2 linked regions of the Astyanax mexicanus genome follow. The protein of the gene in region 2 binds, or shares a complex with, the protein of the main gene of each other region. Links are inferred from orthologs where the notes say so. Each region holds a gene or a part of one and is shown on either strand. Other genes may lie near its edges. The genes, in order: stx16 and tbc1d23.

The links.
Region 1: the proteins of tbc1d23 (region 2) and stx16 are in contact, whole or in part, in a crystal structure (PDB 8QQF), measured with the Homo sapiens proteins. The link is inferred for Astyanax mexicanus from reciprocal best matches to the Homo sapiens genes TBC1D23 and STX16. Residues at the interface, in NP_001186127.1 of Homo sapiens: Leu638, Asn639, Ser640, Val641, Val642, Lys643, Ile644, Thr645, Ser646, Lys647, Lys648, Ser661, Ser662, Ala663, Ile666, Thr683, Lys687, Ile690, Met691; in NP_001001433.1 of Homo sapiens: Asp209, Asp210, Asn211, Thr212, Leu213, Tyr214, His215, Arg216, Phe218, Thr219, Glu220.

What each region holds. Positions count from the first base shown.
Region 1 is NC_064412.1:43,723,882-43,736,548, forward strand, and holds the start of stx16 (syntaxin-16), read right to left. Parts: upstream 6,111-12,667; 5' UTR 5,789-6,110; coding exon 5,657-5,788; intron 1-5,656. UniProt on the Homo sapiens protein: SNARE involved in vesicular transport from the late endosomes to the trans-Golgi network.
Region 2 is NC_064412.1:47,165,862-47,178,115, reverse strand, and holds the start of tbc1d23 (TBC1 domain family member 23), read right to left. Parts: upstream 5,158-12,254; 5' UTR 5,143-5,157; coding exon 5,021-5,142; intron 2,886-5,020; coding exon 2,771-2,885; intron 1,710-2,770; coding exon 1,604-1,709; intron 167-1,603; coding exon 1-166. UniProt on the Homo sapiens protein: Putative Rab GTPase-activating protein which plays a role in vesicular trafficking. Involved in endosome-to-Golgi trafficking.

The sequences.
Region 1 (12,667 bases), about 3.4 Mb from region 2:
AACTTAACCAATTTAAACATATAAACAAATAAAGAGCAGGTTTTGATGACAGTGCTGAAGATAATTTTAAATTAATTGAATCCTGTTTAATTTGATCACAAATAATAAAGCATTATAGTAAATTACACATCAACTGACACTTGGTCATGTATTAACTTCTTAGATAACATCTTTGGTTCTCTGAATTCTTTCTGGGGTTCTACCACTATTAGGGCCCTTTGATTTCTGCAAGTGGAGAACACAAATGGAGTTTAGATATAACCATGGAAATACAAAGAATTAAAAATATAAACTATCTAAAATCTGTATTTTTTTAGTATCTGTACTTATTAAATCCAAAATTGCTTCTGATTAACACATACATGCACGTACATCACAGTGTGTGTACAGATAGCTGGATAACAGAGGTGTTAAAATGTCTCAAAATACTAGCTTTGAATATGCCAAAAAAACAAACAAAAAAACTCAGGGCAAAGCAGTATCCCAACTGCTTTTCTGCAAGTTTTGTTAATTAAATTTCATTAGAAATAGCATATTGTTTTATTTGTAGGTAGATTTGTACCAATTCTTCAGTTTAAATGGTACGCACTGAAGCTAACTAAGTGCTACTTTCGTTCTCTTGGGGAGAAACTATTGAGTTAAATTACAGATTGCATTGATATTCATTTTAAACAATTATAAACGCATCTATGCTTTTTTTTTCATGTTTTTCATTGATATTCCCACAAGTGCTGAAGACCAGTACTATTTCTTAAAAAAAAAAAACTGTTAAAACCCTAAAAACCTGAAGTGTAAAGAAAAAAAAGATTTCATAAGGCCATACACTATGTGAGTTTAGGAAAGACTTGCAGAATAGCACTGTTGCAGAACTAGGGGATCAAAACTTCCTCCAGTAGGAAGTAGAGCTGAAGACCATTCCTAATGAACAGTCCTGAACTCTGGGCTGTGGTTTCCCCAACTGAGAACCACAGACTTAAACAGAACAACACTCACTCAGCATGCAAACCAACCAAACTTCTAACAAGGACACATGCAGGTCTCACAAAAATGCACATACAGCAGAATTAAGCGAAGGAGCCACCACATCACCATTACAGCAGAACCCACTTTCAGCTAAATGCCAACAGTGTCACAAAAAAACATAACTATTACATAATATAAAAATAAAGAGGACAGCCAGAGTAATAAGTGCTAAGGTTCTTCATATACTTTGATTGACCCCTGACCCCAATAAAACTTTAGGTGTGCACAGATGAGGCAAAACAGGATTATTAACTACACCTGACACAAATTACCCAAAAAACTTGTAAAGCCCACTTCAGTTTGCAGTAAACAGGACTTTTGGTGCAAAAATACAGACACGGGCCGATGTCCGGTTGGGTGTAGAGTTAACCCAATGAACCCAATGAATCTGTTTACCATGATGAGAACAATGTTCCTACCAAAATTCGTAAGCACTGGGCGAAGACTATTAAACCACAGTATTATAATCATACAGCACTTCCAGGGGTGTGTCAGACTTACTACTGTTACCAGCAAAAGACAACAATTTAGCATTTAAAGCATAGTCGGAGAAATAGAACCACTGCGAAACCATGATCCAGAATTGTGATGTCAGATCAAAACTTGTCCTACAACACTTAAATGTGTAACCTCTTCAAAACCCCTAACATCATCAAAATATATCCATTTTCTGGTTTTATGTGACAAATCAAGCAAATCAACTTCCTGCTATTTTATCCACATTTAAAATATCTACTTTTCTTTTGCAGTTTCTTACATTACACATGCCTGATGTTCAATTTTCCAAATATCTAAAGAATCTGATATAAAACCTAGGAGGAGTTCACAAGTGTGAGAGTTTCTCACAAGTTTAAAAAATGTGAGAAAACGCATTAATTTCAAAATAGCCAACGTCTTCTTGGGATGAGTCTAGGCCTGTCACGATAGTAGAATTATTGAGATAAACGATAATATTGTCATTTGAAAGTGGCACTACAGAAAGCTTTTTTCCTTCTTCTGCGCTACCAAAGGAGCTTTAAGACAGTGTGCCACAGTAATAAAATACTAGTATAATAATATTATTACACCATTTTACAGAAACTTTTTATTATTAAAAACAGACATTGGGCTTCCAATAAAGAAATATTTTAATATCCTAAATAACTAAAACAAATAATGTACAACCACCCTGGAACTCTGTGGGTTCTGAGAAAACGGCACTAAATATTATACAGACCTTCATATAAAAAGTAAAGTAACAACATATAGATTACAGTAACATTTACATTAATTCAACTTTTTTTTTTATCTGGACAGGCACTTACAGATTATTTTCTCTGATCATATATGTAAATGCTGTAAAACATACATTAACTCAAAAAAACAAGTGTCCATATGATCAAAGACACAGGTGGCTCAGCAGCCCATAGCTCTTGCCATAGGCGTAGGAACCGGGGGGGATGGGTGGGACATGTCCCCCCCAAAAATGATATCAGTTCGCTCAGGTCAGCTGTACTATTAATGAGGAGACAGACCGGACCAATCACGGAGCCGGTTCAGGTATTAAGTCACGCCTCTCAGTAGAAACAGCCAATCAGCTTGCCGGTTTTGCGGCGCGCGGAGCAGAGGCAGTTTGCTGTTGGGGAAGCCCCGCCCCCTCGCTGTGAGATTTAGCAGCGGGATCGGGACGCAGCAGCTTCAGCTGATTTTAAAACAGAGATGAATATACGGAGATTTTACTAAAATAAAGGTAACAATAGGCTAACCACTTCAACTGTGATGATATGTTTCTGATAGCTGGTTAAAAATACACGTCTCTGAATCAGCACACAGTTTAAACCCACTGTGATTAATAAACTGCAGCTGTGTTAGTGTGTAAGCTTATCTTTGGAATTAACTAGATTGGGAGTCAGGGTTAAAGGAAAAAAATAAAATATATATGTAATGTTTCCCTGTACCTGATCAGCTAATCACTTTAATTTTCAAACTGTTTATTCATTTAGGATTACAGGACTTACTGTGAGCTATAATGAACGAAAATTGATTTAACTAACTAGTTATCTAGAAGCTGGATGTAGATGATCGCCAGAATTTCGTACAGTACTTTAAGTTGGTAGTTTAAAGCAGTTACTTAACCCCGATCACTGCCCTAAACTAGTGTTTTCCACCTGATCAGCTAATAAACAGTCATTTACTGAGTTTACCTGTTAAAATCCTTTAGCCCCCTATGGAGCCTAAATTAATCATGTATATCCACCAGAGGAAGCTCTAGAATATGCAGAACAGTTTTAATATGCAGTAGAATATATAAGAACTGGGTTGAGAAACACTGCTGTAACGTGACTTCTGTTCATTTGTATTTCACAGTAAGACCACATGTTCTGAGGTTTATAAAAGTCTCTATGAAACGTAAAGTTACATTCTTTTACATAAAAGGACACCATCTTAAGAAGAGCTCTCAGTAGAAAAAAATAAAAGTGCAGGAGAAAATGTAAATATACAACAGAATTGACATGCCAATAATAATAATAATAATAATAATAATAATAATAATAATAATAATAATAATAATAATAATAATAATAACAATAATAATAATCTGTTATATTATTTTAAATATTAGGTGATAACTGAAAATTTTTGTCATATGTACATAATTCAGACATTGCTTGTATAATTTTTCTAACAACAGTAGCTGTAATGTGGAGTAACATGTTTAGGTTGTAAAATCACCTTATAATAATAATTTACTTTTAATTAAAAGTAATTTCCACAAATGTTGTTCTAGGAAACTATTGGGTGGGCTTGGGTTCATATTGGCAAATGTGTCCCCCCCAATATCAAGCCCGCTCCTACGCCCTTGGCTCTTGCTATAAATGTATTTTTTTAATGTAACTGTCAGAAATAAATTTGAGCAAGGAACACCAGTGCTTGAGGCAGGATCTCTCTGGGGGAACCATATTCATATTCAATATTCAGCTCAGAAAGTTGGGCTGGATGGCTGTGCTTTAAATGAGATTTTAGCTTCGTTTCCACTGTTTTGAAACAAAATAAACCTTCTCTAAAGCTGTTTAGTTTTGAGAAAGTCATATTAGCCTTAAATACGTTCGCAAGCTAACACACACACACACACTCCGCTGTGCACGCATGTGTGGATGCACTGGCACTGTCACACATAAGCTATGCGTGCACTACACTGATTAACCGATAGATGTCACTGTCTGACAGATTTGTCTTCGTCTCAGACAGAGAGTCGGCGAGAGAGCAGCGCAGCGGGACTCGCTGAACTGTAGCTCCGATTTATTCTTGTGTAAACAATCCCACGCGGAAACCCAGTGGCAAAAACTGTCGTGGTTTAAAAAAATGATCGTACGTTAAGTCGATAACATAGTTATCACGACAGGCCTAGATGAGTCACTTAGACCAATACTTAAAATATTAATGTTTTTTGGTCTCTCAAGAAAATAAATTTTCATCGTCTCTGCTATTAACTATTACTTCAAAAATGACTGGAGTTTATCCCTGGAGTTTATATTGTGCTATCACCAATAAGCAAATATGCACAGAACCATCCTGGCACCACTATTGTATATACTGATGTTTCATATAATACAAAACTCAAGTGTTATGTGAACGGTTTAGCAATGTGTACATAGAAACAAACTAATTTCTCTCGAATTCACAGTTGTCTTCGCACACATAAATTGTTGAAACACGCAGGTAAATTTTTTTCACCAGGTATTTTTGCACCCCCGACTTTTGACATTGATGTGACGCCATACCACTCCTCAAAATGCACTCTGAGAACCATGTGGGCGTGGGCATAATATTCTCATGAAAGTGCGTGACTAACAGCTGTCTTTCACTGGCGAACAAACGTTTGTTTAAATTACCATGGCAACGCACACAGCCATGAGATGGAGAAGCTGAACCAATACCTTACAAACGCTGTTATCAGTCCCTGTTACAGAAACAGTGCGTTTCATTCCCTACACGCTTCACTTTCAACACTCACAGTGCATCCCTAAATGTAGCGTACAGATTAATTTCCAATATATAACTTAATATACTATTGGTGGTGTTGTGTCAGAGCGGCACAAACAAAGATCCCTAAGGCGTAAACAAAGAATAGTGAATATTAGTGAATGAGTGAGGGACCTGCTGGCGTCAGTCTGGCCCACTTTAGACCCGCCCATCTAAAAAAGAGTGACACTGGGAGTGAAATACAGCAAGGACCTATCAAAACCTATCAGGAAGATCTTCATAACAAGTTCTCTGTACTTTTACACGGGGGTAGCGGCAGGCAGAGAAGCCAAATTAACCCGATCAGAAAGAGAACTTAATGTAAAGAGTCCGTGCGAGCGATAATAGATGATCTGCTGCTCCTTGGCTTACAACACGTAAACACATGCAGTGTTTGGTGTAAAACATCAAACCATCAGGCTACACCTCACACACGGAGCGCGAGCTCGCTTCTTAAAGGAACTCTCAGTTAGATGGTGGTGCAGTTACAGCACTGAACCCTTAGGAGCCACAGTGGAACTGCTGCACCATTTCAGTTGGAAAGGTCAGTTCGTGTAAGAAGTCTGAGTCAGTCTGCTCACACACACACACACCTAAGCAAATCTATACAGACAATTAACAGTGGACTCACCGCAGCATTGCTACGTGTATTCAGAGCTCGGCGGGGCTCGTGTGTACTCACTTGCTCGGCCAAAATCTGCCGGTTTTGGATCGCATTGTTCCGCATTAACAAGAAGGCGTCGGTCAGGCGCCTAGTTGCCATGGCTACTGTTTTACCGGAGCGAGCGCGCGAGAGGCCCGTGCGCCCTAACGCAGCTTTTCTACGGTCAGATCAGATCGTCCGTCCAGTTAGTCTCTCTGTCCGGATAAACAATCCGCCAACGCCACCTCCTTTACACCTCCTCTACACCCGCCCGGCTGCTCCCTCCGCCGCGCCCCGCCACGGGCGAGTCTGCGTACAGTCCCAGTTCTCCACAGATCCACATAAAGGCGCGCTCCGTCACCCCGAGACGCGCTGAGATACAGCTACAGTACCCCGCAGTACATCACGGCCTCCACGACGACAACACTACCGTGTGCATGACGAGCCCAGAGCGTCACATCCGCTCAACAAAGATGTTCTCAGTGAGAGCGAGATCCTCCAAACCAACAGCACGCTGAATAAAACAGCGCATTACATTGCTGTTTCCATCAGCACTGAACCGTAATATCAAACCAGCCCGTTAGTTTATTCCCTTAATATTACAGACGCGTTTAAATATATGTCCCTGAGTTTGACCTAAAGTGCCATCTTGTCTCCGTTTACGATCTTCACGACCCGTTTTTGAACAGAGTAAGTTACAACCAGAGATCTTCTACAGAGGAGAATATCCACTCAGTCTCTGGTGGGTTTGCCAGTCCACCAGAGGGCGCTCCCGAGTGAGTTCAAAATGAAGTTTATAAATAATTAAGAATTAATTTGGTGCAGAGTAATGTACTTATTTTCTTTTAAAATATTTCTGTATGGCTTAATATTATCAAAACGAAAAGGCCAGTCAGCACACAGTAGCAGTAATGCTTTATTATTTTTTTATTCTTACAATACGTAATTCTACTTGCGAAAGAACAAGAATATTCTGTTCATTAGGTATTGTTTTTAATTCATTCATCATGGTATACAACCGACCTTCAATGTTGAAATGTGGTTGAAACATGACTAAAGTAATGTCTGTTGTTGTTTCAACGTTGAAATGTTCAATAGTTGTGGTAACGTTGAAATTTTAGCGTTAAATCAACGTTTAATGTTCAATGGTTGTGCTATCATTGATTTTTTTATGTTAAATCAACATAATGTCCTCAACCTTCTGCCTTTTGAATTAGTATTTTATATTTCATCACCATATAATTTCTAAAAACGGTTGAATGGAGAAATAAAAAGTTTTTTACTTTTATTTGCAGTAACTGCTTTTTAATTTAACATCATGTTCATGTTCTAATAGTTTTACTGTTTTAGTGTTTTTGAGATCAGATGTTGAATCAGATTGGTAGAGGTGGGTAACTTTTGTTATACTCAGCTTTACTGCAGTGATCATAGGCGTAGGAACCGGGGGGGATGGGTGGGACATGTCCCACCCAATATTAGAAACAGGTGTATTTGTCCCCCCCAAAAATGATATCAGTTCGCTCAGGTCAGCTGTACTATTAATGAGGAGACAGACCGGACCAATCACGGAGCCGGTTCAGGTATTAAGTCACGCCTCTCAGTAGAAACAGCCAATCAGCTTGCTGGTTTTGCGGCGCGCGGAGCAGATGCAGTTTGCTGTTGGGGAAGCCCCGCCCCCTCGCTGTGAGATTTAGCAGCGGGATCGGGACGCAGCAGCTTCAGCTGATTTTAAAACAGATATGGATATACGGAGATTTTTCTAAAAGAAAGGTAACGATAGGCTAACCACTTCAACTGTGATGATATGTTTCTGATAGCTGGTTAAAAATACACGTCTCTGAATCAGCACACAGTTTAAACCCACTGTGATTAATAAACTGCAGCTGTGTTAGTGTGTAAGCTTATCTTTGGAATTAACTAGATTGGGAGTCAGGGTTAAAGGAAAAAAATAAAATATATATGTAATGTTTCCCTGTACCTGATCAGCTAATCACTTTAATTTTCAAACTGTTTATTCATTTAGGATTACAGGACTTACTGTGAGCTATAATGAACGAAAATTGATTTAACTAACTAGTTATCTAGAAGCTGGATGTAGATGATCGCCAGAATTTCGTACAGTAAGTTGGTAGTTTAAAGCAGTTACTTAACCCCGATCGCTTCCCTAAACTAGTGTTTTCCACCTGATCAGCTAATAAACAGTCATTTACTGAGTTTACCTGTTAAAATCCTTTAGCCCCCTATGGAGCCTAAATTAATCATGTATATCCACCAGAGGAAGCTCTAGAATATGCAGAACAGTGTTAATATGCAGTAGAATATATAAGAACTGGGTTGAGAAACACTGCTGTAACGTGACTTCTGTTCATTTGTATTTCACAGTAAGACCACATATCCTGACGTTTATAAAAGTCTCTATGAAACGTAAAGTTACATTCTTTTACATAAAAGGACACCATCTTAAGAAGAGCTCTCAGTAGAAAAAAATAAAAGTGCAGGAGAAAATGTAAATATACAACAGAATTGACATGCCAATCATACCTGTCAAGTCTCCCGTTTTGGCCGGGAAACTACCGTATTTTACTCCTCTTTCCCGCCGTCCTCCCGTATTAGTATTTTCCCGTAAATTTCCCGTATTATACTAAATAAAAAAATATATAGGCCACAGGCGACAATGCACTGACCGCTGTGTGTCTCTTAACCAATCGTGGTGCCGGTTCAAGGAGAAAGTCCCGCCTTTCAGGAGAAACAGCCAATCAGCTAGCTGGTTTTGCGGAGCGCAGTTTAGTGTGCGGGAAGCCCCGCCCCTCCCCTCGCTGTGAGTTCAGGCAGCTAGTCGGAGCAGCTGTCGTTAAAACTAATCTGGATATACGGAGATTTTTCTAAAAGAAAGGTAATTAACCATGTAAACTGTGATGAGATTGTTTCTGATAGCTGGTTAAAAAGACTCTTCTCTGAATCAAAACATAAATTAAACCCACTGTGTGTTTAATAAAATACAGCTTGTGACTCAGTTAGCTTAACTTTAGAATTAGCTAGATAGATATTCAGTGTTTGAGAAAAATCTACATATATATATATAATGCCCTGCCCTGATGTGCCTGATCAGCCAATAACTATCATTTCCAAACTCTATTAGTTCAGGGCTAGTTTTAGGGTTTGTTAGAATTTATTTAAATTTTATATATATATAAGGGACGAGGGAAACGAGGGAAAAAAAAAAAAAAAAAAAAAAAAAAAAAAAAAAAAATATATATATATATATATATATATATATATATATATATATATATATATATATATATTTTTTTTTTTTTTTTTTTTTTTTTTTTTCTCCCTCGTTTGGGCTGTTGGGGCGGCGGAAAAAATCCCTTATTTTTAAGTCCAAAACTTGACAGGTATGATGCCAATACATAATAATAATAATAATAATAACAATAATAATAATCTGTTATATTATTTTAAATATTAGGTGATAACTCAGACATTGCTTGCATAATTTTTCTAACAACAGTAGCTGTAATGTGGAGTAACATGTTTAGGTTGTAAAATCACCTTATAATAATAATTTACTTTTAATTAAAAGTAATTTCCACAAATGTTGTTCTAGGAAACTATTGGGTGGGCTTGGGTTCATATTGGCAAATGTGTCCCCCCCAATATCAAGCCCGCTCCTACGCCCTTGGCAGTGATGTAAGTTTAATGATAACACTTTGTTAACCATAGGAATTTCTAATTTTAGTGAGCTATGGGTTATTAAAGGTTGAACTTATGACGTTGAAACAACGCTGCTATATCAACGTTGATTCACTTTTTAAAATCAGTAGTTGATTCAACGTTGATTCAGCCATAATATCTACGCTGATCAACGTTGATACAACGTTTATTTAACGTTGAAATGCCAGCTGGGTAAGTTTTGGGCGTGGGGGGCACTTTGAGTGTCAAAATAAAAAGGGAAACATAAAGCAAGATTAGTGCTGTCTGCTGGAGATTTACTTTTCATTTCCCACTTTTTGTTTTCAACTTCAGCAGCATGCAAATACACGTACATTAACTGTAGGCGGGTCTATAACTACAGAACCTCCCATGAGAGCAAGGCGCTGGGGTGTTTTCATTTCAGCTTTATTTTTGGCAGGATTTACATCCCTTACTCACTCACGGGCCCCTACTAGTGTTGAGCAGAGTCGTTTTCTGCTTAAACGGCGGAGGGCAAGATTGGAGTCTGGCCACAGGGGGCGCTGTTGTGCGTTCCGTTGTTTTTTTACTGTAATTTAAACTGTCCATACACTACACGACTTTGAAAATACTCCGAAAATACTTTTAACAGACTGAAGTCTGACCCCCTCTCACGTCTAAAGACTCGTTACAGACTTTTTACTCACACAGCAGTCACAGGCTATGATTTTACAAAGACTGGGGGTCACTAACTGCAAGGCTGCAACTAGATTCTTTCTGAGATTATTTCCCATCATGCTTCTGGTGGAGTTTACATACAAATATTACCTATTAAGTTACAAATAATGTGCATATCAATATCAGAGACTCACAACTTTGTGTCACCATCAACAATATATTTTTTTCTGTCACACTGTTAGTTCTTGTTTTTTTATAGAATACATTTTGTGTTCAACTCATCCTATAAGCTTCATTACACCCTGTTTTGCTACAACCTTGTAGGCCTATAGCAAAGAATCACAGTTTTACTGCTGTACATTTGCCTAGAATTAATGCAATAAAGAACATCATTCTCGCAAAATGATTTTATTAAACTTGTTTGTATTAAAAAAAACACTGCACAAATAAATAACTGTGCAAAATAAAATAACTTTAAATATATAAAGACTTTAAAGTGCTACCTGTGTTTAAAATACTGTACATATTAAAGTAAGAACCATATAAGACCTATTAATTGCAAAATGTGTTCCTTTTTTAATCGTCTCTAAACAGTCATGTGATATATATTCTTGCCTCTTCCCGTAGCTCTCCTATTGGTTGTTGACCTTGTTCACGTCATTATTTGCGCGAGCTGAGTTTATTGCGATAATATTAAATGCGGTTGATTTTATCTAATATTTCTGATCGGATGAAACTGAGAACTAAAACAGTTTTGTGAAGAGAAATGATCTAAAATTCCTCCTGACTGTTGTGCAGGTCTGATCTGCAACTACAGGAAACAGCTTGCACCTGTCACTTTGGAGCTATAATAATTAGTATAATAATTCAAAATGTGAAAAAAAAAGAAAATTACTCAAAACTGTGTATGCTTTATGAAAAACAAACACTTAATATTGAATTATTACATCTATTAAACATTTTATTTCTATTCACTTACAAGGCTTCATTCAGTGGATTTACAGGTTGTTCTTTGTCAGCTGGATTATATATGTAACCTGCACATCATTTATTTACATGTGCAGATCACAGAAGCCATTTTCATTTATTGTATACAAACAGCAAATTATTTGGTATGCTCCTGCAATTGATTCAGAACAACTGCCTGCTGTTTCTCAAATTATCAATCAGTCTGGAAAAGGTTGCAGTTTCTAAGACTTTGGGAAAGGGCATGGACAACTCATCCAGGAGGTCCTAAAAAACCCAGAACAACATTTATAGAACTGCAGGTCTCACTTTCTTCACTTAAGGTCAGTATTAATGATTCAATAATAAGCAAGAGACTGGGTGAAAATGGTCTCCATTGGAGAGTTCCAAACCAAAAAACACTGATAACCAAAACGAACGCAACGGCCCATCTCACATTTACCAAAAAACATCTTGATTATCCCTAGAACTTTGTGTAAATATTCTTTGTATTTACGTGACAAAAGTGGAACTTTTATGGAGTCTGATTGAGATGCTGTGGCATGACCTTAAACAGGCTGTTTATGCTGGAAATCCTCCAATGTGGAGAGTTAAAACAATTCTGTAAAGTAGAGTGGAAAAAAATCCTCCACAGAGATGTGAAAGGCTCACTGCCAGTAAAAGCTTGATTGCAGTTGTTGCTGCCAAGGGTTGTAAAACCAAGTTATTAGTTTTAGGGGGCAAAGACATTTTCTAGATTTTCTAGAAGGGCTAGATTATTTGAATAGTTTTTTTTTTCATTTAACAAATTCTATTTAACTTTTTATAATTATTCATGTTATTTTTGTCTGATATTAAAGTTTAATTGATATTTGATAGAAAAATATCATTAGATAGGTAGATAGTTTGATAGATAGATAGATACTTTATTGATCCCGAGGGGAAATTCTAGACATCCAGCAGCAGGTATGTATAATACACAAAGTTACAAAATGAAAAATATAAAATATAAAGATATAAAGATACATATAAATACAATCAAATAAAAAATAGAACGTACAATGTAAAAGTACAGTCTTTAGTGTGTGTGTGTAATGTAGACTGGAGGTAGTGCAGTTGAACAAAATAGACAGTGAACACCAGTTGTAGTGCATAAAGTAAGGATAACTGATGTCAGCCATACAGAAAGTGCAAATACACAGTTATATAATAATTTAAATTTAAATTTAGCAGTGCAAAGGTACGTAAACAGTAGATGAATGAACTAGGGAATGAACTAATAGGGTAGAACTATAAAAATAGTGTTATAGGCATGGTTATAGGAGTGTGTCCATAGCTGAGGGTGTGTCCATGGTGTGGCCAGAATTACCAGAATGAAAAAGTGTCAGAGTCTTCAGTTTGCTGTGCTGAGATGAGTTGAACAGTCTTATGGCCTGAGGGACAAAAGACTTTCGGAGTCTGTCGGTGGAGCAGGACTGGGACAGCAGTCTGCCGCTGAATGAGCTTCTCTGCTTGGTGATGGTGCTGTGCAGAGGGTGGTGGACATTGTCCATGATGTTCAGCAGCTTGCTGAGTGCTCTCCTCTCTGCCAGTGGTGTTAAGGACATTATGATAAAAAACAAACAAAAAAAAAATCTGTATGGGGCAAATACTTTTTCATGCCGTTGTATATTATGATAAGCCAAACAGGATATTTATTCA
Region 2 (12,254 bases):
TAGAGGTCACTTCGGGGCAGCTGAAGACCCAGCAATGGTTTTAGAAGGTGAGGCCAAGCCAGTTCTGCAGTGAAAGTTACATTTCTGGACTTGCAGTAGAAAGTGATCACCGCCTCAACGTCTGCCACCAGGTCACGCCCATCCTCCACAGGCAGAGCTAACTGATCTGCAGGGGTTAAGAACACAAGAACAGGAATTAGTCATCGCAGGTAATGCTCATTTTAAACAATATTGCTCTGCTGCAAGCTACAATAGATAAAAAAAATTTCAAAATAATATTAAATATTTGTTACAGCCCTTAATAACAGACTGTGTATTTTTGCATCACTTCGCTATAATGCAAAAAAAAAAAAAAACAGACAACCACTAATGGCTAACCTGAGCTAATTATTAATCAATCATTTCATTTTTGCTGCATGATTGTTGGTCTGTAATAACAGTTATTACAGACATTTACAACTAGGGCGGTACATTATTAAGTAACTTAACAGTAACTTTTATAACCTTCAGATATATACAGGTATATGGCCCACAAAAAAAATCATGATAAACAATTAATTCGTTTTTTGAATAATCGACTAATTGAAAAAAAATAATTGCTCAAATAATCAATATAAAAAAAAACAATAGGAGCGCCACATGTTAAATGTGTTGTGTAATTACACAACCTAAGCAGAGTAATCCATCTATAACATACCACCAGCAAACATACCACCAGTAGTTAGACAATAATTAATGTGTAACTTCACATTTATGACTGATTGTAGCCCTCAGTGAGCTTATAAGAGATTTGATCAAATAACGCTGCATGGGGACAAAGTCTGCTGTAGAGTCTGGCTGCCTTAGTGTCTCAGTCTTGCTTTGGGTGAGCCTGGAGGCTAAAGTCTGCCTGTCCCAGTGCAGAAATGAAGTTATTTTTCTGGGTTAGCTCCCTGCAGTGGCTGCTATACCCCAAAGTGCTGGAAATTCCCTGAATAGAATCAGTCTGCTGGAGTCAGACGGTTGTGGGAGGGTGGAGTTGGACAGGGTGATGAGTAAAGCACTGTGTGCTTTATCTATTCACTGCTTCCTTAAATCAGTGTTTTGTTAACTGCGTTAAAACTAACTATTACTGTTTTCATGGTCTTTGTACAGGAAGACACAACTGTTTCACTTTGGGAGCATGAAACAAATTCCTAAAAAAAAGTAAAAAAAAGCGGTATTTTAGTGTGCTGGTATCTAAATTTGGGCTGGGCAGTATTACTGTAATACCATAATGCATAGTATTAAACATTTTAACAGTATTTTTAAACAAGGACAATATTTCACAAATTTTGAAAAAACAACTATCATTTATGAAAGAAACTCAACTCAACATTCTGTAATTGGTCCAAACATCTGACACTGTGGTTTGTTGCACCTTTAACATCTGTTGTTTTGTTTCAGACCCAACTCAAAAGTTCAGTCCAAACAAGACCATAAACTGCCGTGTGAAACTAAAAGTAAATGTTCCAATGCTTGTATTCTTATAGTGTATGTGTTCTGTGGGTCTATGTATTGAGCATATAGAACAGTATGAAAGATAGTCTGCAGTTAAAAGAGAAATGTGATATAGATTATTTACCAATGAGCTGCTGGCATCTGTTGTGTATTAGCGTCTGTTCTGGCAGGTCCAGAGCTCCATCCCAGGAGGACAGACTGTCACCTTTACCTGCCACATTCAGAGCAATCTGAAAAAGAGAAAAAGCGCAAGAGAGAGGAAGCGAGTGATAAAACTCTTGCATCCGGACTGCAAAAAAATATATAAAATAAAAAATAAAAAATAAACAGAAGGACCAGTGAGTTTTTTTGGCTTTCTTGGTCACGTGACATCGCGTTCAGAAGCTCCTCCATTTCCACTGGCTGATGTGTTTACATGGATCCCCATGGAAACGTGCACCCAAAATGTAATTACAGTGCATGGCAGCAGACAAATACCTACTTTATTAAATGCGAGGAGACGAAACTCAGACATGTGGATCCAGAAGGGACTAAAATTACCGGAGGACCAGCTATCCTGATCCTCTTAGAATAGGGCTTAAAATACATACAGCTATACTGATTGCACAGGATTTTATTTAGGGGTTTAGGAGTAAAGGCAGCTTTACACTTTTGCACATCACAATTTTCTTATTTTATTTGATTAGAACTTTGAAAACCATGCATCATTTTTGTTCAACATTACAATAATGTGTTACTTTGTGTTGGTCATTTAAAATCTAAATAAAATACATTTGTTTTTGTGGTTGTAAGGTGATAACATGTGAAAAGTTCAAAGCACTCTATGTAGTGTATGTATATTTTATACACATCTTTCTGTAATTTTACCAGAACCTTTATTTTAATTGTAAGTATTTTCCCCACTGTTCTCATTTATTTTGTAAGGGCAGAAAATTTTAAGTGATTGGGGTGAGAGAGAATAAGGGTTGTGATGCTGTGATACTGCAGCTCAGGGCGTTTGATGACAGCCCTAGTGGAGGTCATAAAGCTGCAGTGTGTGGTGTGTCTCACTCGGCGCTGCCCGCTGTACCCGGATCAGATTTCTCTAATGAACAGTGGATCAATACCGAGGCTGTCTGCACCCGCAACCCGGTTACACAGCCTTTGCTCCCCATGCAGAGCTTCAGCACAGAGCTTTATCAGATCAGAACAGCATGCTGCCAACCGCGTGCTATGGTAATATCCATAATAGCGGTATGATGTGTAGATTATCTCATAATAATGTTGTACGGATGGCATACCATATACTTACCATCCAAAGCTTGGCTCTCTGAGGTGGTGGCAGGTCTCGGACCTGGATAATGCCATCCTCCTCTGTATCCAAATCACCAACTGCAGAGTCCAAAGCATCACCTAGGTCATGGTCCCTATAAAACACACACACACACACACACTTTTAAGAGAGCTTAAACTAATTTGGTCCAACTTTTAGATTGTTTAGTTAGGTGGACCAAAAGGACCAGAATGTGTTCTAAAGAAGAAATGTTCACAGTCTGGACGAGCTGAACCATGGTCTGATTGGTTTGCACTTTAAAACACATTTTTGTGCGGTCCAAACCAATTACAGGAAGTTAGGCTATCATCACCCTTTAAACAATAGAAAAAGAAAAAGAAGCGGTGTTGTGCGGGAATCTGATTCCCCTTGGTGTACAGGCGCATCATACAACAGTCTGGATACAACAGATTACACTGGTGATTCCTATATCTAATGTAACTGTAGATTAACCCTTTTTTAAAACATATATAAAAGGAATCCCGGGGGAAACACTCAATACACCAATCAGTGTGAAGTATAGGGAGACTCTGCCCACATAGTTGGTGATGTTAGCTTGTAGTTAAGTAGTTACGTGCACTTAGTCACTAAAATACAGTGCGAAACCACAACTAACCAGACTAAATGTACAGAACACAAAATTCAGACTTGATTCTACCTGGTTCAGACTTGGATATGTACATCATGTGTTTCAGGTGTTCTGCATGTTTCCATCAGTCTAAACAAGCTGCACTAATGCTCTATATGCTACATGAATGATATTTCTAGGACGAGAGTGTTCCACCATCTGCCAGGCTGCTACTGGGCTAAACAAAAATCCACTAACAAAGACGCTCCATCCCACATGCCTTCTGTCTCTCTCTCTGTCTGTCTTTCTCTCACACAAACACACACACACACAGTTGAGAAAACAATATCCATCACTCACAACTGACATCATCGTTCCACCATAATGGCAGAAACCTGAATGCCAACAATAGAGACGCCATTGTGGAGCTCAGGAGCAGAGTGGGAGGAGTCAGACAGCAGTCAGTGTTGACGGAGCAACAGATCTTCACATCTTCACATTCCTATACCCCTTCCTTAACCCAAAACATCAACCATCTAAAAGATAAAGCTGTGCCTGTGGAGCGTGAACAATTTAGCTTTACAGCAGCAGCACTGTATACATACACACACAAAACACATAAAAACACACACACAAACACGCACACAAACATACAAACACAAACACCCATCACAATAACAAGGTGGACATAAAGTGTGGATATATTGACGCAAAAAGGATTATAGTAAACATTACTACTGATATTTTATGGCACTAAAATTATACATATAATAATTGTTTATTACTACAGTTGTGTTGTGTTATAATAAAGTTAATTTAGTTTGGTTAAATTAACTAAATACAATTAGTAAAATTCTACATTTTGGCCATTCACATAAATGTGCTCTTCTCTGTAAGAAAACCTAATAGGCAATATTAAGCTCAGCAAAAATTGACTGCATACAAGTCCATATATTAAACAATAATATGACCAATCATGATTTAAAGTTAAAATACATGTTTTTAATTACTTATCTTTAATAAGTAATTAAGCTGATGTACATATATTCTAATTATTGTGACAGACCTATATGACACCTATCAAAACTTTAATTTATCCAGTGAGTAGGCCTGTCACAATAATTGCAATATCGATTTATCGTACAATAAATTAACATGATCTCAATTTTTTTTTCGATGATATCGTATGTATTTTTGTTCACACATACAACAGCTTCAATAACTGTGACTCCATACACACAGTGTGGACTAAAGTAGGTGAAGAATTAAGTATATCATTCACAAACTAAATAAAATAAATTATTGTTTAAATGTTTGTTGTCTTTAAAAAGTGTATAATTACTTTTTTCTAAGCTATTCTGTTATTAATAGTCTTAAAATTACAAAAATATTGAGTATCGCAATTATTTCTGGGACAATGTATCGTACACAAAAAATTATTATCGTGACAGGCCTACCAGTGAGCAAAACTCAGTTCAACTCAAATGTATTTCTATAGCAAATGTCACAAAGCAGCTTCATAGAGAAATAGGTACAAGCCTGTGCCATGTGTGTGTATTTAAGTAATTCACTCTAATCATAAAACACATCTATTCTGCAGAATCTTGTTATCCACTCCACAAACAACTGAGGATGTTTAGGGGCAGAAAGAAGACCTATACCGTATTAATACTGGATGAGGTGGGGAGCTGGGGATGAGGTGGGGACCTGGGGATGAGGTGGGGACCTGGGGATGAGGTGGGGACCTGGGGATGAGGTGGGGACCTGGGGATGCACATATCATTGATAATGTGAATGATCGTGACAGGCCTACACATGTACACACTCATTCTCTCTTCCTCCATTATATCTCCCTGAACTCTCCAGAGGAGTGTGTCCACACTTCCTGCCTACTGTTTTATATTCAGAAGAGGAAGACAACACATTGCATTGTACACAGCAGCTGTTGGCCTTCTGTCTACTTCCTGTAGTCTGGCTCATTAACACACATGCTAATCTCGAATCTCAGATACACACTGTATTTTTTTATCATACAAAAATACTTTTCATACGGTCCCAACATTTTCTAATTTAGGGTTGTATATGTATTACCAACAACTAATTCTTATACTTGGTAACTTATTCTTCAGGTATGGAAAGTGTGAATACTACTGCTGTAGTGAGTAAACACAAAAGAACTATCAGCACCGAATCACTGATATCAGCCTGTGGCTCCTCCACAAACAAGCTTGCAAAGAAGCAATAAAGCCCTGACATCAGACGGACTAGACTGACAGACAATATCACAATACACACAGGATATTAAGTGTTCAGAAAAATCTGGACGTGTGTTTGTGTCATTCAAACATGTATAAAGTACTTGAGATCCAGACTTGAGTAAAAGTACAAGTGCTCTTTTAAAAAAGTAAAACGTAGAATTTGAAGTGTTCTTTAAGCACCACACTTAAGTGGAAGCCCTATAGCCCTATTCAACATTTTTTGTGCTTAAGTATTGCAATTAGTTTATTTTAAAATGTACTACTCAAGTACTGAAAGTTATTCATTTTGTCTGCATGTCAAAACCTGTATTGTGATAATGTCTTTAAATATTGCAATATAATATTTTACCCTATCACCCAGCTCTATCAGCAAGTGATTACACGCATAAAAGGGGGTGGCTTATATACTGTTCACAATAAGGACACATTATTTAGACAGAGATCATAAAGACACTACAGTAAGACTGTAAATTACTGATTTCCACACTAGTGATTTGCTAAGAAGGTACTGAAGGCAGACCAATGACTGTGTAAATTATATTCAATAATATAATATAAACTTCTGACTGACAAAACCATAATCCCAATCACAACCTTTGATCCCAAGAGCTGATTTCTATCCATTCTTAGAAATGACAGAGAAATCAGTGCTCATATCTTTTTTTTTTTTTTTAGATTTTAACTAACGTTATTTAACTAAATCAGTTAAACTAAAAATAACGTTTAAAACGAAACACAATCACACGATCAGAATGACTGTCACAACTAACCACTGCTATTCCAGCTGAATCGATCACTTATCAGCTATTTATTTACACATTAGCCAGCTGTCAGTGGAGAGGGGTAATCCAGGTCCAGAAAGTAAAGATCCTGCCCAGGATTGTGTTCTGAACGCCTGAGCGGATCTGCTGCGGCTAAGCAACACACAGAAGAGCAAAGGAAGTAAGAACAAAATCCTGGGATGGATTCCTACACTCTGGATCTGGACTTCTTAACTCTGGATGTCTGTTAGCCAGGCAGCTAGCAGCTAAATCCTACATTTACCTCAGATTTCCTTAAGAAGTGAGGAGTAAAATACTAATAGGCTAACTCCGCCTGCTCTTCAAAGCTGCGCGACTCTCTGTTAAAAGAGACCAAAATGTATAAACACAGTTAAACCAGGCGCTGAAAACCCAGCCAGCTAGCTAACAAGCTAACTGTCTAGCTAAACAGCTCCACGTCTTCGTCCAGAGTCGCGAGGCCGGAGCTCAGTGGAGCCGCTGTCTGCGTCCCTCAGTCCGGCTAGCTGAAAGCACAGCACCGACGGGGCTAACCCGCTCAACCCCGCCGCCCTCACACCGGGTCACCCGGCCAGGACAGGCAGACAGCCCCCCCGGACCCCGCATGTTACAGAACCCCCCTCTGAGAGCCGGTTCTGACCCTAATAAAGCCCGGCGGACCGAACCTTACCAGCTGCCCTGAAGAACTTCCTCCACACAGTCCGCCATTGCTGCGATCCCGCTCCACGTCACAGCGGCGCGCGGGGGAGAGGCCCGCACCTGTTCACGCGCAGCACTGTTCAACTTCCAGTACAAACAACACATATATATCATCAGTGTTTACTGAGTTCATTCATTAATATTACACTGTTAAAAGTTTGGACAGAGCTTAAATTCAACGTTTTTTATTATTTAAAATTGTAAAAAAAAAATATTTAAAAGGTTCTGCATTGTAGATTAATACTAAATTCATCCGAACTATGAAGTGAAACAAAACAAGTGTTAAACAAACCAGACTACAGCTCTAGAAAATCAGTTTCTCTGATTTTGCTATTTATAGGTATATGTTTGAGCAAAATTAACATTATTGTTTTATTCTATAAACTATGGACAACATTTCTCCCAAATTCCAAATAAACATATTGTCATTTAGAGCATTTATTTGCAGAAAATGAGAAATTGCTGAAATAACAGAAAGCTGCAGAGCTTTCAGACCTTAAATAATGAAAAGAAAACATCAAAGAAAACATTTTCATATTATAAAGTTTTAAGAGTTCAGAAATCAATATCTGGTAGAATAACCCTGGTTTTCACAGTTGTTATGCATCTTGCCATTATGTTCTCCTCCACCAGTCTTAAACACTGATTTTGGATAACTTTATGCACTTTCTGGTGCAAAACATTAAGCAGTTCAGCTTGGTTTGATGGTTTGTGATCATCTATCTTGCTCTTGATTATATTCCAGAGGTTTTTAATTAGGTAAAATCAATCTCTAATTTTTTCCCCAGAGCTGTATGTTATATATTTTAGGCACCTCTTGCTTAGGTTACAGCTTTGCACATCTCTAAATTTTCCCAGTCAGCTTCATGAATGACTTGAGTATTCATTAACAATGTAGGAAAAAAACAATACAATCATTGAATAAGTACTAATTGAGTAATTGATTGGTACTGTATATATTGTAGTAGTCAATATCCATCAAGTTTTGTTTCTTTATTTTACTTTACATTACAATTACACAAGAAAACATTACCAACATTACTTTTTCCATCAACACATTTTCTTTCCCACATTTGTTAAATTTCAGTATGAGGGCACTGATTGTACACAGCCACATTTCAAAAGTTTCATAGTCAAACAAATGAACAAACAGGCTACATTCACACAGAACCCCATAACTTATTTATGCAATGCTCATAAAACATTATTATAAACAGGTCTTATTAAATCATTTTCAGACATGCAGCAGCCTGGAATGATTGATTTCTCCCCAAAATGCTTAGCTTTGAGTTGCAAATTCAGTTCATTTAGCTAAACTCATCACAGAACAAGCAAACTCAACCCAACAGGCAATACAGGAAATTTTACATGCGTTTATATGCTTTCTCCTTTTTCACTGCAAACATAAATTTCTAAACATGTCAGCTTTTAATATACACTCATATACTCTTATTTTCTCAAAGTTTTAACTTATTTTAAAGCTTATTTGAGCTGAACAAAATATGCTCATCCTTAAAGAAACAATTGCAAAAACAGATGCCCCCAGAAGAAAGTGTTGGATTTTAATGCTATTCAGAAGGAAGATAAAAGTTACCAGGGTCAATAAATGATTATAATTGTGGACTGAGATGAGTAATATTTACTGAGCTACACATTCAGACATAGTGTGTAACACTGCAACATGCCAGAGGATGGATTTGTAGAGATTCTCAATTCATCCCATGCACCTACAACATTCTCACACAGTTCCTGCGGATTGTGCGGTAGGGGTGGATCGTTGAGTGCAGTGTCCAATAACACCCCAAACATTTTCTATCAGAGATAGCTCTGGAGATGCAGCTGTATAATCAAAGTAAGCTCTTGGTATGGCAGCAGTGTGTGGACGAGCATTGTCCTGTTGGATTAGTGCACCGTGTTCAGTAAAGGTAGGGCCACTGGCTGCAAGTTACATATTAAACTAAATTAAACCCCACACCATGACAACATGCCTTCTGAACATGTGATGTGTGACAACAAACCAGATTCGTTTGTTGTCTACATCAAGAAAAAGAAAGGCCTTTTCACTGAAAATGATATGAAGTTATTCTGAGTTATTCCCCGACAGTCTGGCACAACTAATCAAAGGGGTTTTATTCCTGTTGGTTATTCCTTCTGGGAACAACTAGTTTTTAATGATGGGTGCATATAGGGCCATATTAATATTGGTAACTATTTTCATTTACGCTTTAATATTAACAGAAAATCAATTCAACAGGAGTGCTCATCCCCTCCCTAATGGTCAATGGTTCTCACTGGCTCTTCCAAGCATTGGCTGCCTAGTTATGCTGCACTAATTGGTGGAAGTTAAAAAAGAGGCATAGTCTGACTTCACATGTATGAAAGGAGGCATGTTCTGGAGTCATAGGGAGAGTTCCAATGAGTGGGCAGGTTATTTGGCTTAGCTAAACTGAAGAAAAAAAAAACATTCTGGAAACTTCTAAATTGGTGAAATGCTTCATGGTGGTGCACTGACATCAGCCATCAAATAGGATGTATACATAGATATTACTATAACGTATGTTACAGCTATAAGGAAAAGTGTGAAAGCCCTTTATTTTGTAAAATGTTTATATATGCAAACGAACGCTACATATAATCTCAGGACGTCCCACGTCCAGTTCACATCCAGGTTGAGATAAGGCTACAAGCTCAAGAGTTAAAAAATAAAATAAAACAGAAAACAGACCAAAAAAACAGAATCGATGACGCACTGTAATATTTCATTATTTGCTATTATTATAATGAGGACAAATTGCCCACAATCTACATCAGACAGCCACCTTCAGCCTTGTTTGCAGGGATGTCATAAATAAGAAAACCTGGGCTGCTACAGACTAAAATCATATTTGATTGTTTTTATTGACAAATTCAGGTTCTGTTTAGGATCTGACAGCTAAATCAATGCTGCCTTTGCTGTGGATCGACACTCTGCTCCAACTTCTGGTGCGATTGATGATCCGGGGAACATAGCATGCAACAGTAGGTCACCCCTAGTAGTGATACTAGGGGTTCAGCAGATACATGTGTTATCTCACATGGCAGGACTTTTTTTTTCAGCAGGATAATGCTCACCCACACACAGCAAGAGTTTGCCAGGAATGTTTCCACTACGGTGCAGCATTTCCTTGTTCTGACAGATCTCTAGATTGATCACCAATCCAGCATTTATGGGAGCACCTAGGGAGCAGCCTTAGTAACCTATCAGTGTAGAACAGGATCTACAGGCCCAGCTGTAGCAACATCTGTGGGTAAATGTGCTGCAGGATCCATACAGAACCTGTAATACTCCATACCCAACATTCTCCATCTCACTTTGTATCCAGATTAGAAGCTCCAACAGGGTTTAAACTAGCGCCTCCTTTCAATTACAGTATTGTTTACACCAATACACTCATCCTTTCACTATAATATTGTAATCACTCTAATATATCATTGACACAAAGTCCAGTACATTACAAATATCCCCTTTTCTGTACGTTATTTTTTTTGTCAATGAATGCAACGGGTTTCTGTGTTGATTTCTGAATTTCTGTACATTAACTAGAGGACTAGAGGGTTATTGCATATTTTTTTGCTGTGTTCATAGTATTGTTTGATTTTAGAGCATGTATTTAATTTAAATTGAACTTTGGTTGGTTGTACTTGCTTTCCCATTGTGGCAAATACATACACATGAAAAAAAGAGATGCTACTTTAATGAATTAATTAAAAGTATAAAACATCCTGTCCCAAGTTTTGAATGCACTGTAAACTTACCGCAAAAGTAGACTGATTATTAAGGCGTTCATAATCAAAGATATCATCACACTAGCTGAATGCCATAACACTACATCAAAATTACAGCGGAGAGTCGTAACATTTATTTATAAAGAGAAATCTCACTCATGCTGTACAGAATATAAAAAAAAAAATCCCACAGTCCCAAAATTAATGAATAAAAGGAAAATGAAGAAAAATATAATCAAAAACAGACAAGTAAAATGAATTCACTTTATGGCCCAAATTTAAAGTCATGTGACATTAGTTCCCCGTTTAGAAATAAAATGTCAGTAATGGCAAAAACAACCCACTGACAGACGTCTTTTAACACACAGCTTACACACATTCAGACAAACACACTGTTACGTCCCGTAAAAGAACGTCTACAATCAAACCCTACGAGATATATATTTATTATATATATATATATATATATATATATATATATATATATATATATATAACGGTGGCAGAACTCTGTGCTAAGGAGAATATCGGAACATCTGGAACATCACAGAACAAAAAAGGAAAACAAAAATAAACTGAACTGAAATTTTTCACATTTTTCATTCTCCATTTTTAAACAGCGTGCACAAAATTTAGTGTCCCCATAAACAAAGAAAAACAGAAATAAACAAAAAAATATACAAAAAACAAAACTAACCTCCATCAATTATTAAAGCTATCCAGTCATCACTTCGATTTACTCTAGGACTTTTATTTTAACACAGTTTGGAATTATGATGAGACTTAGATTTAGACTAAGATTTACAAAGGGCACATAACTAACGAAGGAAGCAAAGCAGTGAAATACGCAGATACAGTACGCATGCTTTAATGAGGAGGATAAGCCAAACCAGATCGGGCCATGGGCTAAACCACAGCCCATCACTCTGAGGCTGTGAAGTGAGGGTGGGTGATATGATGTTTTGGTGTATTGTGATATTTTTATATAATTGTTATCGCATCATGGATTTCGTTACTGGGTAACATTTTATAATTAAAGGTATATTAATTAACAGGACATAAAACTCAAATCTTAACTAAATATTTATTGGCAATAGTTAGCATTATTAATCATTACAACATTTTAATTTTTTTTTAATTCATTATTAATTAACAGGATTAACAACATTCTTAAGCATTAAAAATATAGTAATGTATAATAATGTCTCAACTTTGACCAATTAATATTTCCCTTGTTCTTAGAGGCTACTTCTGAGTAGTATACCTCCCAGTGAATAGATACCATACTTTAAGAATCTTTCACCCCTGTGCCATTTTAAGTGCAATTATGCGTACCACGATAATTATTGTCCATGGTGAAAATATCTATAAATATCACAATACCTTAACACTAT